Oreochromis niloticus: one gene and its partner. The protein of the gene in region 2 interacts with the protein of the main gene of each other region in a biochemical or structural test. Links are inferred from orthologs where the notes say so. Each region holds a gene or a part of one and is shown on either strand. Other genes may lie near its edges.

Region 1 (8,208 bases), on a different chromosome or scaffold from region 2:
GATGTGTGTACTAGCACCTCTACACCTCAGGTTATTAAGTTATAAACTACACCCTATTTTCCATTAGGTTGCCAGATTGACTTTGCTATACTTTTTTTTCTTTACTGCTGGCTTGAGCTGGCTTTTGCCTCATGAGTTACATAGTTGGATCAACATTCGCTGTCATCCCAATAACACCATTTTCAGAGAAGGAAGCTCCGTATCAAAAGGGTCTGGGGCGCTAAACTAACCTACCTGCAGCCCAGACCTGTCACCCACTGACAACCATGACATGTTATGAAAATATCCAACAGGCTTGTTCTTTAGCTCCTCAGACAGAAACCTGTTAACTGTTCTCACTTTATGCTTAAAGAGAAAGGAGGCGTTTGCTGTTAGAGCTCCTCAGAAGTGGAATGACCTGTCTGAGGAAATACGCATCGCCTCATCTGTGGCTTCTTTAAATCACTGTTCCATTTATATTGTAAGGCTTGTTTTTTTAAAATCTTGTTTGACCATCTTCTAATGTAGATTTCAGATTTTTTGTCATTCTTAGCTTAACTTATATCGTTAATTTCTATGTTAACGATATAATTACAATGGAATCACATTGCTTCTTAATCTTAGTTTGATGTTGCACTTGAGTCAAGTGGGTTATTTTAATAGAAATGCCCATTTTTGTGCTTTACAAATAAAATTTATTATTAATTTCAAAGCTGCCACAGTTGATTTCTCAGATGTAACAATTATAGAGAAAAGATGCAACACAGAGTAAAAGAAATGTGTTTTAAAATGGTGATTAAAGAGCTATTTATTAGCTTCTTGCTTAATAATTAACATTTAGATACATTACTGGGTAATAGTTCCTCCAGATGGACCAATTGTGTCCATCTGACCTTATTGCTAGCATCCTTCACCTTTACTTCAACATCTGTGGTCAGTTTGGCAGCCCCATATTCACCATTCTTTGTCCACTATCCCTCGTCTGCTCACGTCCAAACCACCTCAGCCTTGCCTCTCTAACTTTGTGTTCAAACTGCTTAACCAGAGCTGACCCTCTGATATACTGATTTCCACTTCTGTCCATCCTGGTCACTCTTAATGAAAATCTTAGTATCTTCATCTTTGCCACCTCCAGCTTGGCCTCCTGTCAATTTGTCAGTGCGACCATCTCTAAACCATACATCACAGCAGGTCTCACTACCATCTTGTAAATGTTCCCTTTCAGTCTCGCTGCTATCCTTCTGTCACAAACATCAATCACCAAAATAAATAAATAAAATAAAATAAAATAAAACCAGCCTTTCCTAACCCACTGAACTGTGATCATCAAAGAATTACTTAGTAAAAGTGCAAAAAACTTTCTTTACCGAAATTGTGAGAAGTGTACGAACGCACAACACTGCAAATTATCTTATATTAAGGCTCCCTTGATTAGAACATCATGCAGAAAGCATGTATATGTACTGTATTACCTGGAGAAATGCATGGCCTTCTGACCAGCCACACTGAAATAAAAGTTGGTGGTGTGCCTCATCTCATCTGTGTGCCCTGTTTCTTCTATCCAGTGGCCGATCGGGTGGCAATACACGCCGTCCACCACATTCTTATCATCATATGTACACCATCTGTCATGGCTTGGCCCGCTTCCTGGTGACAAAGATGACAAGCAGGTTAATGCACATAAATCAGGGACGTCAAACTCATTTTCAACAGTGTGTCACATGTGGCCCAGTGTAAAGTTTAGCTGAGATGTCTTGAAATATGAAACAGATTTCAACAGTATTTCTCAGTTTTTCTACATGATAAAGAAATGGTGTTGTAGTAAATGAAAAAGAAATGTGTCAGCATGATTTAAACTGTATGACAAAAATATGTCAAATTACATAAAAATAGAAATGAGTTTCAGTTTTCTGGGACCATTGTAAAAAACATACATTTCTATAGTAGATTGTAAACAAACAAACAAAAAACAGGCACTTTTCAGTTATTTAACTGTTAAATAACTTAATTTCTGTGATGTACTATAAATAGCCACTGGGGGGGGAATTCTTTATCAACAGGAGAAGTTGTAAAACTTATAAGGATAGAAAAAAAAAGTCAAAAATTTACGCCCTGCTTCTTATATTCTAAAGCTATCCAGTGGGGCAGATTGGAGTATTCACCGGGCTGATTCTGGCCCCGGGGCCTTATGTTTGACACCCTTGTTATAAACTGTCCAACCATTGGCGTAACTTTGTGCTGAACATTGGGTGGGTCAAGATCTCTGTCTAAATAAATAGATAGATTCCTAGATGATTAAACATGCAACTATTTTGCTGGTAATACCTGAAACGAGTAAAGAAAATCAACAGCCTATTTATGCAAGATAATTCATAATTTTATTGGGGGGGGGGGGGGGGGGGTATATTGGTTGGGTCTGATTATTGGGGGGGGGGGGGTCATAACCCCCTAACCCCCTGGAAATTACGCCCCTGTGTCCAACATTAAGACCATATGACTAATTTCAAATGAGAATCCTTTTATCCATTTATATTACATCAAAAATATCATAAAATTAAATATGGCTTGCATGTTAAAGAAACTTTCAGAGGAATCCAGCATTGCATTACTGTGCATTCATTCCTGGGTGCAGATGATGAAGTATAAATGCTGAACTCTAACTGTAAACCGTTATATTCACATGCTGAATTTCAACTGTTAATTTAAAATAAAAGACTCAATAGTTTTTTCGGATTTTTCAGAAATATTAAACTTTTTTAGGTTTGCAGATACAATGCAATTTGTTAGCCACTGAACATTTAGTGTCACTTACCGCCATCATGTGGCACTATGAAAACATTGCACTATAGCAACCAAACATGGCGCAGTCATATTTATGTCTCTCCCCGCTAACCTTAGAATAATTACAGCAAATCTGTGAGACGTTTGGAAAAGCGTCTACGTGTGAACCAGATGTGATGCACATTAAACCAGAAGTGCACAGGTACCTTCCCAGATAAAGGTGCCTCTGACTCTTTGGATGAACTTGAACCACAGTGTGTCTCTGTGGGGCTCGGCTAGGTGCACCTCACCGATCCACAGACACGGTTCTGCGGGTGACGGGAGTTTCTGTGTGGCTTTCATCCGAACCGCTCTGTTCGGGTCCCAGTTCCCCATTTCAGCACGCGAACCCAAAACAAAGACGTCGACCTCCGAGGACTCCGGAGTGAGAATGACGCCGAATCTAAACAACATGACCGCAGGCTTGCCTAAATCTGTTCAGCCGATTGGTATGGCGACCTTATGGGTTATTATGGCCTATAATGTTATAGCAGCTATTGCGTTACATTCGCGACGCTGTGACTGTATGGTGTAGCCTAAAAATAACCGGGTGCAGTTGGATAGTTCAGTTTGCAGCAAAGACAAGAGAAAGAGAATGAGGTCCCACTCTGCCAGGATTATCGGGCACCTTGCAGAAGCCACGTGAGACTGGACAGCTCAAAATACTGCGCTTCAGAAAACACATTACTCTCTGGGCAGCATCTACTCTTAAGGGAAAAGTATTATATTTTCTATACATTCATTTTCTTTTCTTTCTTTTTTTTACGTACTTTTGTAGTGCAATAAAAAAGGAAGCATGACAGATGGATAACATCTATTGCTTAATAAATAACTGGACACTAATAACTTAAGTTTATTATATAATATTATATAACAGTGCATTTCTAACTACTGTAGGCAGCTCATTATATTTCTCTTGACAATACTTTTAACTAAAGATTTTTAGATTTGAAAGAAAGGCAGACGTGAAGTGCGAAAGTGAGATCAGAGGTCAAATGTGACATGATTTTTTTTGCAAACTATAACGTGATATTTAGAAAACCCAGATACCAGTATAATTTTCTAAATGTGGCACTTGAATTTTAAGTACAGCTTTAAAAATAAAATTTGTTTGACCTCATTCGAACTTGAAAAACAGGTAAAAAAAGAAGAAGCACAAAGTAATGTGATATTTAAAAACAATATTTAGAATAGGATTCCCTCTATGCTTGTAGTTTGTCAGCACAAACATTGGCAGTGAGAAACATAGTTTTAAATAGCTCTACATAGCTTTATCATCACTTTGGCCTTCAGATCAGCTATTGACCGAGAACAAGTCAGAGGTCAAACTTGACACAATATTTAACATTTTTATATAGTACATTTTATGTGTAGACAAAACCACCACACTGGTAATGGTAAGTTCTCAGGTTTTTTTGTCAGTTTTTAATCCATAAATTATTAAGTTGACCTTCAAAACTTTGGTGGATATTTACTGTATGCTTACATTTAAACATGTAGTGCTTCTAGAGGTCACCACAGTGATGCTCCACCATACCTGCTCTCCAAGTAAAGAAATAAAATATTTACATTTAGCTAATCTGGTAAAAAAAAAAAAAAAAAAAAAAAAATTAAACACATCTTAAGCTGTTTGGTGTGGTTGTGATTGTTGCCATTAGGTGTTTTCATTTATTTGGAATGAGAGAAGGTATTACCAGAACAAACACATGCCAAAACTTGGGCTCTGTCCTCTAATCCTTCAGAATCACCCTGCATGTATAGGGCTGAGATCCAAATATTTCTGGTCCTCAGTAATAATAACAAAAATAAGAAGAATGACAAAATGCTGGTTTTATACAGAGTAGAAGTAATGTGGTGCACGAGAAGGAGGAGAATCCAAAGAAAAGCAAGGATGCGTGTTAGGCAGCCAGGTTCTGTGTTGCAGTGAGCCGATAGGTTTGCAGTGCTTCAGGGTTTTAATCACATTTCTACTCAGAGATTAGGCAATAACAGAAACTTGAACAAATCCTGCAGCAGAAAACGACACCAGCAATGTGTGCATTAATCACACGGCACAGTAACTTAATTAACAGAGGTATGCTCAGGACCTGACTCGACCCTAAATGGTGATTTGTGTTCTTCTACACACATCTTTTAAAGTAGAAGAATTTTAATAAAGCAGCACTTTTCTAGATGAATCCTGCCCTTTACCTGCCTCTAGAGAACAGCTGCCTCTAAGACTGCACAACTAGCTTCGATTTCAAATAAAGAGGGTCAACCTTATAAACTGTATTGATTCTTCTTTAGCCGTCTCTTGAGCATGTGTAAAATCTGCACTTACATAGTATTCAGTTTGTTAGATTACTTGTTTTTCCCTTATTAGATCTGCTCATTTTTGACTTGTGGATGTGCTCTCTTGTCAGTAGAATTTAGGCCATCATGCACAGAATTTGCCACTCATCTGACCGGATGAAATTATGATCCGTACATGCAGTTCACCATTTGATCAGTTAAAGCTGAATAATTGTTGTACACTGCCACCATGCATGCTATATGCTGTACATGCACTGTGTTTCTAATACTGCACTTTAGAAGTGACCAACTCCTCTAATGTGAGCATCCGCAGTATATGGACATGCGTGCAATTGGTGGCAAGGATCAGTTTGTATAATCAAGAGACTCTAAACACAATCCCTCTGGAGAATTCATGTTTTTCACTATACCTGTCATGGCTTTTGTGTTTAAGTTATATTCCATGATTATTTGTTATTCATGGCTTTGGTTTTGTTGATGGTTTTCTGTTCATGTTATATTTGTAGTTCCAGCTCCTGGTTTCAGTAACTGTGTCTTCCCTGTGTTCTATGTTTCATATCCAGTCAGTCATGTCAAGTCTGTGTCTCTGAGTCTGCGAATGTCTTGTGCTTCCTGTTTTACTTTGAAAGTCCTTGTCTTATGTCTGGGTATTCTGCTTTGCTTCCTTTGTCTTGTTATGTCTGATTTGTCCCGGCTGTGTTGCCACCTTGTTCCCCAATCGCTCGTTGTCCTGCCTGTGTATTTAAGCCCTGTGTCTTCCTCTGTCTCAGGTTTTTATGTTTCATGTCCTGGGTTTCTAGTCCCAGGCTTTTGTTCCTTTGTATCATTTTTTAGTTTCACCCAGTTTAGGTTTTGTTTTAGTTTAGTCACTGCCATGTTTAGCTCTTGCTTGTATTTCGTTTTCCCCACTGTAAATAAAGCTCTGCGGTCCAAATGCCTGCACTTGGGTCCTTTCTCTCACCACTCCACGTGTCTGCTCCCGCAGCCGTGACAATACCACATTAGAATAATCCACCTTCCACAAATCTGTTGCTCTTCTTTCCACATGAATGTAAGGTTTAAAAAAAGTGTAAAAGCCTGTAACTATTCAATAAAAACACTAAAAGTTTTTCGGTTACAACCAAAAAACTGTTCTAGTACTAAAATACCTTGTCAGGCATCCGTTGTATGAATTAACCTCCTACCATGCAGGTTAGCCTGGTGCTGCCAGCTGACACCTTTCTTAAATAGTTATGCTGTTCTCTATTTTAATCAGGTTCAGATATGTGGAGGGTACTTCAAGCTGAGAGTTTCTTCCTGTAATTGCTTCACTGAGTTTGTACAGCTGGGCTTGAAACTCCTTAATCATTTGCTTTAGGGCAAACTCATCAAATCGCTCTTCAGCGCACTGACCCACGAGAACCTGTAAAGTAATGAAAAAAGGACAACCGATTTAGTGATATGATCTTTAAAAACCTGAATTACAAAACCTTTTTGTTACATCTGGCCATTCTCTACTTCACAGTTTTGGCCTTTGATCAGGGACCTCAGTTTGTACAAATACCAAACATCTGGTCTTACCTTCATGTCTGGGCTTATTAGTGAAAGCAATAAGCTTTCACAATAAGCAATAAGTGTCCATGGATGAAGGAGTTTCAGTTAAGAATTGTGACCAGAACCGTGATTAAAAAAATATATATATGTATATATATATGTATATGTTGTTTTACTTTTTTTTCTTTGGAGGTGGTGATTTTGGGGGGAGGGGCTAGTGAGGGTTGTGCATCATGGATTGATAAAATGTAAAACTTAATACATTAGTGCACTTCTGAGAGAGATGTCGAGCCATTCCTGCAAACTCCACTGTCTCTCCAACATTTGGGAGAGTCTCCAAAATTGTCTGCACACACAGCAAGAGCGAGCCATTGGACACCCAGGAGTGGTAATCAAGCTAGATAAAGAAGTGTTGAGTAAATAAGCTTCACAGCTGTGCACACAGCTTCCTCTGGAAATCATCAGGAAATCTCTGGACTTTAAATTTAGCTTACTATAAAATGTGATCTAAAATTGACAACCTGTATATAAAAGATGTTTTAATTGAAACACTTTATGCATTTCATTGCCCAACCTGTCTATTATTGTTTGCAGCGAGTTGACTTGTCACTGTGAAGATCAGCATTGTGATGAACTTGATCACTCCCTCAACAGTATAAGTATGCTACTATAAGTATGGATCTGGTGGATCCTCTTTTGAAGCTCTGTGTCTTTTTGCACGTCGCCGTCTGACGGATAGTATTAATCCACTATATTCCTCACAAAGCTGGCAAAAACATGACAGTTTGACTTTCAATGAATCTGACATCACTGCAGCATTTTTAAATTAAGAATTAATCACCACACTCCCAACAATGTGCAAGACTGTTTATTAATGAATTAATTTGTAGATGTTTATGTAATGCTTGAATGGATTTCCTGAATGACATGGCCTCCAGTATTACTGTGAATTGCTGAAATGAAGCCATCCTGCCTCTGAGTGACAAAGTAGTTTACTACTCCTTTGCTACTCTATTATAATTCTTCAGAGTCAGGCTGTCCTAAAAACGCTCCGAAAAACCTTTAGCGGATCCAAAACACTGCCCTGAGAGTACTCACCGAGACTCCCATATTAGCTTCTACTCATTGGCTTCCAGTTAAATCCAGAATTTATTTGTTTACCAGAGTTTGCAAAAGAATAATGGCAGTCAGACCTTTTAGCTATTAGATCCCTCTCCTATGGAACCAGCTCTCGCTTTGGGTTTGAATGGCTTTTAAGACCAAGCTTTCTTTTTTGATTAAAGTTAATATAACAGTTATGCGTCTATATGCTTGAGCACCTCCCATTTCTTTAGTCCTCATGCATTTGTCACAAATTACCTTTTGTCTACTTTCTCTTGTAGCCCATCACCCTATACCACCCCACCCCATTTATGGCTGTCTTTATGATCCATTTATTTCTTTCCCCACCGAGTGACACCATATTATTGCCCTTTCTAAATCTAGTCTTTCATCAAGTTCATACTTCTCTACTTCACCCTCGCTACTTTACAATATAAAAGTGCCTAAAGACAACTGTTGTTGTTAACTATATAATGATTGAAA
Region 2 (7,239 bases):
AGGAGACAGAAAAGTAGTCTGCAAGCAGAAATCGTCGTTATAACACTTACCCCTGCGGTTCATGGGCCGAACTCTCACTGCAACTTTTACCTTTGTATCCGACATTTTCGTCCACTTTTCACTCCCACCCTGTCTATTCGCCCAGCTATCAACGCAGAGTCTCCGACAAGAAAGCCCGGCTTTTTGCCAGAAAAAAGGGCAAAAGAATCTAGCTAAACAATCCCAAAAGAGTCCAATCCTCGATGAGAAGTGATGGGAAAGCGTTCATTTTTGTCTTAGTATCCATCCGGGTTCGCTTCTTGTGCAAATCCAGCACTCAGCTCCAGCCCCAGACAGCATCCCCACCGCCATCTTCCACTGGGAGCACGACTGCTATCCTCTGGCAGACTGGAGAGGCTGTGCCAAAGAGGGGGAAAGGATTTACGCACCCCGCCGGCGCATCGGCGCATTGGGGGAAACCAATGAACGAGAAATGTGAGCGTGTGTGACAAGTTAGTTCACATGCATCAGTGAGCATTGAGAGGCAGTGCGGAGCTTGGAGTCAGCTTTAAACAGTTGTTATCACATGATTTTTGACTATGACTTATTGGCGCTTAGTTCTCTCACACACACACATACACACTGAATTGTTTAATTATTTGCATTTTTGGTAAGCAAGAAAAGGGGTTAAAAATTTTACAGTTTATATAACTTTATTATAATATTTAGCAGAATCATTTTTTGACCCACCACCTCACTTCTGTTGACGTAAAGCCTAAAAATAATGTCTGTTTTTCACTCTTATATCCCTAAGCTGCCAAATTTAACCCTTACAATAGCATTTATGTTGGACTTTTTTTTTTTTACTTTTTTTTTAAGTTTAAGTTTTACCATTTGTCCATCACCTTAAAATTTTGCATTAAAAAGCTATTTTTTAATATATATATTTGCGTAAATCTGTAAGTTGTGTTTTAACACATGTGATATAATCTAATTTAAAAAGTGTTCTGTTATCCAGGGGAAAAAGTAAACATATAATCTGTCGTTGTGGCATATAACGTTTAAACTTGGTTACTTGTAATCCTACAACACCTTCATCTATGTATGTCCTCACCGTCTGCTGTTAGCAGCTGGACCTTTTTTTCTCAGATAGTTTCATTTGGCCTCATTTTTCAAAAGCCTTGGATCAGTTCAGAGACTGAGAATCATCACATTGCTATATTACACCGTCATTAAATAATACAACATCATTTTCAACAACTGCTACAATATTAACACAATAACAGACATAATTTCATTCCTGACGTCCTGCTGAAAATGGTTTCACCATATACAACCTTTTTTTTTTTTCATTTTGACACTTTCAAAGTAACACAATGACATTTTACTCTCTATCTAAAGTAAAACTTGTATTTTCAAAACTAGTCACAGAAGGCAACTCAAACAAAAAAATGTAATACAACCTATCATCACTTCATCCTGTGCTAAGCTGCGTTTCACTTCACTTTATTTAATTCGTCTCACTTGAACAGCTACTTTGGGATTGTTCATACATAAACTATGTCACAGGTCCAGCATCAGATTTGGGAGAATAAATCTTCACTGTATGGTCGCCACTGTCCAGTGTGATGAGAAGGTTGTTCAGTAGCGCTAATCCAACGGGGCGAACAAGATGGTCTCCCACAAGAGGAGTAAGGACTGGGCCACTCTGGAGCTTCCCTAAGCTCCAAATCATCCCCTGGTCTGAGTCAATCACAATTAAATCTCCATCTCTGTCGAACGCCACACCTGAGAAGCTGAGCCTCACTGTGGACTGCAGGGTCAGGCTGAAAGTGTCTGTCTGGTAAAGGAGGTGGAACTCTTTTGTAAACACCCTGATCCTTCTGTGTTGGTGTCTCTCCGTTGGATTGGTGACATCAGTTAGATGCTCCGTCACTGCAGTGTTCCCATTCACGCAACAGTAGGCCACCGCTTTAGGGCACTGAAGGTCTGAAATGGTTGTTTGATGCTCTAGAATGACGCCATTACTATAGTCCACCCTCACCTTGGAGAGGGTGCCGGCCTCAACATCAGAGACCAGGATGTGTCCACAGCTGTCAGTGTCCACGCCCCAGGGCATCTGGAAGGAATCTTTGATTGTCAACACGTGATTCCCCCTGGACGTGAACACTTTTACAGCTTTATCACCCGCATCAGTCACAACCACATGACCAGCTGGGGTCACTGCCACGTCCACTGGGTAACAGATCTCCCCACTGGCTGCTCCTTTTTGCCCAAAGCTGTGCAGCTTCTTTCCCTGTAGATTGAACACTACCACTCTCTTCTCTCCATCATGGACCACAACTATTGTTCCTGAGGACCCCAAAACAGCTATTCCAGTTGGGTTGATAAGAGTCCCCCACCCACCAAATGCAGTACGCAGGAGAAGAGTTGTGCACGTCAGAGCTGTGGGAAAGATAAAACCAGCTTTTGCTCTACACGAAGGAGCAGACGGTGAGGGACTTTGAGACAACAGAAGATCCTTTAGGTCACTAAGAACCTGGCAGTGGGAGGTGCTGTCAACACTGCATAACTGTCGACAGAAAGGGCACTCCAGCTTCCTCAGGAGAGGGTGGGACAAAGCTGTGATGCATTCCAGACAGAGTACATGGCCACAGGAAAGGTTCTGTGGTCTGCGCTCCCTTTGCTGAGAGCTAAACGTCTCGAAGCAGACTTTGCACTCCAGTAGGTTGATCTGAATCTCTCTGATTATCCCCTCTGGACTGAGGCAGCCACGATGTTGGAGACTCTTGGCCATGACTGAAATATCCTGTTCTTTAAACCCTGTGGGATGGTTCAGTCAGCTGATGCAGGCAGCAGCAAATTCAGGAAACCAAAATAGAACACGTGCCAATTTACGTGGTGAAATAGAGAATCGTGAAGAGAGGCATATGAAGCACAATTTTGTGTAAGCACTGGTGCCCTGGGCTTTTAGGCCTCAACTGTCACGTGGTATTTTGCACATAACTAAGGCTCTCTGCTGCCCTCCTTTGGAAAACAGTCACAGAACACAGAACCCAAATTGCAGATATCGCAGAGTAAATTCAGTGACGAAAAAAGCCTGTATATTAAATACTTTTAAAAAAAGGAAAGAAAGAAATATGTTTGGCTAGAGTTCAGTGCACAATCTCTTGAATGTGCAACAGTGTGTCTGGAAGCTCTGCCACTACTCATGTTTAAGACTACATGATGTTTATTTCCGAAGGAACAGCAACCGTACCTTCAAATACATCTTGCTGTAGGTCAGCATGGGGCAGCTATTTCAGTCTGAGTTTCATGCTGTGCAGACGGAGTGAAATCTGATCTGTTATGGGCCGTGCTTGAATCAGCCAATCCAGCCCTCCTTTGCTGCAGCGGGACACTCCTCAGGGGTCAAACAATGTCATTGAAAATTTCTCTTGTTAAGTACGCAAACATAGAGGGGCTTCCTGCTAGTAGGAATGTGACAGCAAGTAAAAATGACCAAACAAGATTAAGAGGAAATTAAAACACTTTTAATACGTTTCACAGTGGAAAAGAACAGCACAGGTCGTTTTCAGCAGAATTGTTTTTGGCAAATGACATCTAAATCCACAGACGAGGTCCTATTTAGTGTCTACTGTATGTAGCACGGGAGCCAGGTCTGTTCCAGAGAGGTCAGTGTCTGGATTGTCAAGGATTATGAGGGATAGTATATCTGTACTGAGATGATACTGACACATGAAATGGAAATATAACCTTCAAATAAAATACTCAAGGCCAGAAGAATCAAAGACACACAAAACAAGTCAGTCTTAATAGAAACTGAAAGAAGATAGGAATTAAAAAAACAAAACAAACATGCAAACAGGCACAAGGGGTGAATTAAAATGTTACCACGACAGTGAAAAAGGTGTACATAACAATACTGGCATCCTGCTGTGTGGTGTAATACAAAGACTCTTATAACGGTTTCCTACTACAACACTTGATTTGATTGGAGTCAGCCATGCAAATGCAATATACGCAACAAGAAGGCCAAACCAGACACAGACAGAAAAACCTGACAATACATGCAGTAATTTGAATAATTACGTTCTCTTATTAGTAAAAACAAAAGAAAAGAAAAAAATTAGCAGCCACAGGAGGACAAGGAGAGTAAAATCACTCAAGGTCACAATGATTCACAAAATACTCGAACATTACATAATGTACAGTATTTTCAATAAACTTTCTGCAAAGTGCTTAAACTGTGTGCTTTGCTTCATTACAGGCCAAACGCAGACCAAAGCCGGTGATCCTACCACGCTAAAGCTGTCTGGTATTGAACTCCTGCCCACATTCAAGTTAAAAAAACGTAAAATAGTGAACATCTATGATGTAAATAGATCATCAGTGACAGACATTTATATAAAAAGGCTTTAGCTTCTTTTGTGCTATAAACATAGACGCTCCACTAAGTGATAAATTCTACATAATGGCTTTTAACATTGAAATGGGTTTGATACCAGAGTTGGTATAAACCAGTCAATTGTACATTAGCCTTCAATGATACTATTTCATAGGATAACTGTGAATTATAGCTCACTAGCTACAATGATCATGCAATTATATTTAGAAATGGCAGTTTTTGTTGCCACACCTTTCTCTCACACACTCGCACAAAATAAAATTCTCCCACTCTTTCATCCAAAAAGCAAACACACAAAAAAAAAGTGATCAGTGGTTTAGGAGCTTTTATGACTACAGCACACACCAACGTGTGTATCTCTGTAGAATGAGCCACTGTGCACTCCTAATAACACTGCATGGACCTGTTTTTCCACTTCTGCTGTCTGCACTCCATCTACTGTAGGTGGGTGGCTTTCTAGGCTTCGGTCACATCAGGAAGCGGTCGTAGCTTTACCCTCTTCTCCATCTGTAATCTTTCACACTTCGGGTTACAGGAGTTACCCAACAGCCTCCGCCTCCAACTCCTACTGGCTGTCGAGGCCGTTGATGGATTTGGTCTTTCCTGTGTCCTTCTTTCTCTGTCTGGCTTTAGGGCTGTCGCCGTCTACATCAGTTTCTCCTGAAACATGAAGATCACTCATTTCAAATGAACCCATAAAGAGACGGAACTGCACTGTGTTTTTTCTCATACATGTGTGAGTATGCATGAGTAAAGCACTATAATAAACACTAGAGGTCACCCCTTTACAAGACAGCAACTGAATAGTGGTGTGCATTTTTTTTAAATGTGGCGTGCTGGGTGAATTACAGTGAAGTCAGTGTACCTTTAAATCCCTCAGACACATGGTCAGCAAACTCTGCGAAATTACTGTCTTCACATTCTGAGAGGCTCTGAGGGGAGAAAAGGTTTAAGACACATGACACACACATACCTGCAACTGAACAGGGACCATACTGTGCATGCATCACGGCTAACTGACCCCGTACAGCTTTCTCTGTAAACAAGCCAATAACAACCCCTACAAGGAAAACCTTGAATGTTAAAATTTACTAATGATCTTTGAGAGTAGATGATTATTTAGCTACAGAGCATGGTTGGCTTCACCACAGAACATTTGGCCTTTTGCCATTCAGGCACAGATCTCAGTTTGTTGTAGCTTTATTTAGACGTAACAAGAGTTTACAGAAAGGCACTGAAGTGTGACACTGCTATAGAAATCACGCGATGGGATAATAATGTTAGCAGTAATGATGGCTTTATAATCCGGTTTTGGTTTAATCACTAGAGCAGTAGCTCTCAAACTGTGGGGCACAGGCAACCAGGTGTAAAAATATTAACCACCAAGCGTTGCCTGGCGCTGGTCTTTATCTGAGTAAAGTTCAACTTGAATCCTTTTTTATATTGTTAATGACTGTGGGTGTGGGGTATGGATTTTCTTGGCTTCTGAAGTGCGGGACGCCAACCAAACAGTGTGAACTGCCACAATGGCGCACCATGAGCTTGACCTCCAGGAACATTATCTCACAATTACCTTTTAAATAACTAACTAATCCGTTTTTTGTATTTGTTAGATAGGCTGAGAATAAAGAAACGAGTTGGGATTGAAATTAACTCCAATTTGCTCATGTGTTAAGTGGTTTTATGGATATTCACCTTGTTTTTCCTAATTCCTATCATTCCTGTCCTCAACAGAAGGGAAAAACACTTCAGACTCCTGGCAACCAGAGGTCACTAAGGAAACTATATTTTCTGGTTCCGGTTGGCAAGTGGTTGCTAGTGGTCGCTGGGTGAAAATGGTCGTATACGGCGCTGCACCAATAGCCTCTTAACACTTACTAGCTACCAGCTGAGCAGGGATACTTTTACTCTGAAAGTGTGACACCTTCAAAGTAAAAGTTGTCCCATTTGAAATGTTTTGGTTGCAGTGGTAAGGCACAGCTTTCAGTTCGAAGAGGAATGTTCTCAGTTTCTGGTTGTATTGCACTTTAAGTTTCACTACTGCTCCGTGAATAGTTAGTCTGGGTACGTTTTTGGTGCAGGGACTACACTAGTTTCCAGAGGCTGCCAGGGGATTGTCGACTGGTCTGTAGGCCTGCGTGAGTGAGGCCTTAAATTCTTTGTAAATGCTTTAAGGTCCACAGTAGAGCAGTTAAATGGAAAAACTGATGAAAGCTAAAGCAATAAACATACCTTTTCCCTTGGACCATATGTTTCTGCGTACCATACCATTCCATACAGGCACAGGAATGTAATGAAGGCCTAAAAACAGAATGAAGGCAACATAAACTGTAAAATGATTCATGGAAAATGTGTAAAAAATAACTTACACAATTATATTTTATTTGTATGTTAGAATATTCATATTAAACAATAAAGACATATGCATAGAAAAAATTACACATATTTCAGTGCACAATGGACTTTCTTACCAAACACAAAAGCCAGAGGATCACATAGAGGATCTGTGTTTTTGAGAACAAGTCCTGTCCAAACTTAATGCATGCCAAAGCCTCCAGAAAGGCTATTGCCCTGTGAATGAGAAGGAGGGGGCAAAACAAACATGTAGTTCAGTATTTTAACTCACTGGCAGCAAAAAGAAGAGAAATCCAAACCAAAAATACCATCCAAATCAAACATGTCAGTAGTTTTGGGCTTTTATCTGAGAGCACAGCTTGGGTCACTGACCTACACATTTGAACTTTTTTGGATAAAAATATTCCTGATGTAGGTCAGCTGTTTGACAGCTTAGTCCTCGAGTGAGGCAGTGAAATGCCTGCATGAATACAACTGTTTATAATCTCTGGTAGCTC

Evidence for each region.
Region 1: the proteins of E3 ubiquitin-protein ligase NHLRC1 (region 2) and epm2a form a complex in vitro, tested with the Homo sapiens proteins (3 studies listed by BioGRID, with this or other methods). The link is inferred for Oreochromis niloticus from reciprocal best matches to the Homo sapiens genes NHLRC1 and EPM2A.

Annotation. Positions count from the first base shown.
Region 1 is NC_031980.2:11,217,966-11,226,173, reverse strand, and holds the start of epm2a (laforin), read right to left. Parts: upstream 3,441-8,208; 5' UTR 3,214-3,440; coding exon 2,967-3,213; intron 1,627-2,966; coding exon 1,452-1,626; intron 1-1,451. UniProt on the Homo sapiens protein: Plays an important role in preventing glycogen hyperphosphorylation and the formation of insoluble aggregates, via its activity as glycogen phosphatase, and by promoting the ubiquitination of proteins involved in glycogen metabolism via its interaction with the E3 ubiquitin ligase NHLRC1/malin.
Region 2 is NC_031976.2:18,790,093-18,797,331, forward strand, and holds E3 ubiquitin-protein ligase NHLRC1, read right to left. Parts: upstream 2,948-7,239; 5' UTR 2,777-2,947; coding exon 1,538-2,776; 3' UTR 674-1,537; downstream 1-673. Other genes in the region: kinesin-like protein KIF13A, read right to left, coding at 51-105; ptdss1a (phosphatidylserine synthase 1), read right to left, coding at 4,953-5,047, 5,253-5,319, 6,620-6,688, 6,859-6,958. UniProt on the Homo sapiens protein: E3 ubiquitin-protein ligase. Together with the phosphatase EPM2A/laforin, appears to be involved in the clearance of toxic polyglucosan and protein aggregates via multiple pathways.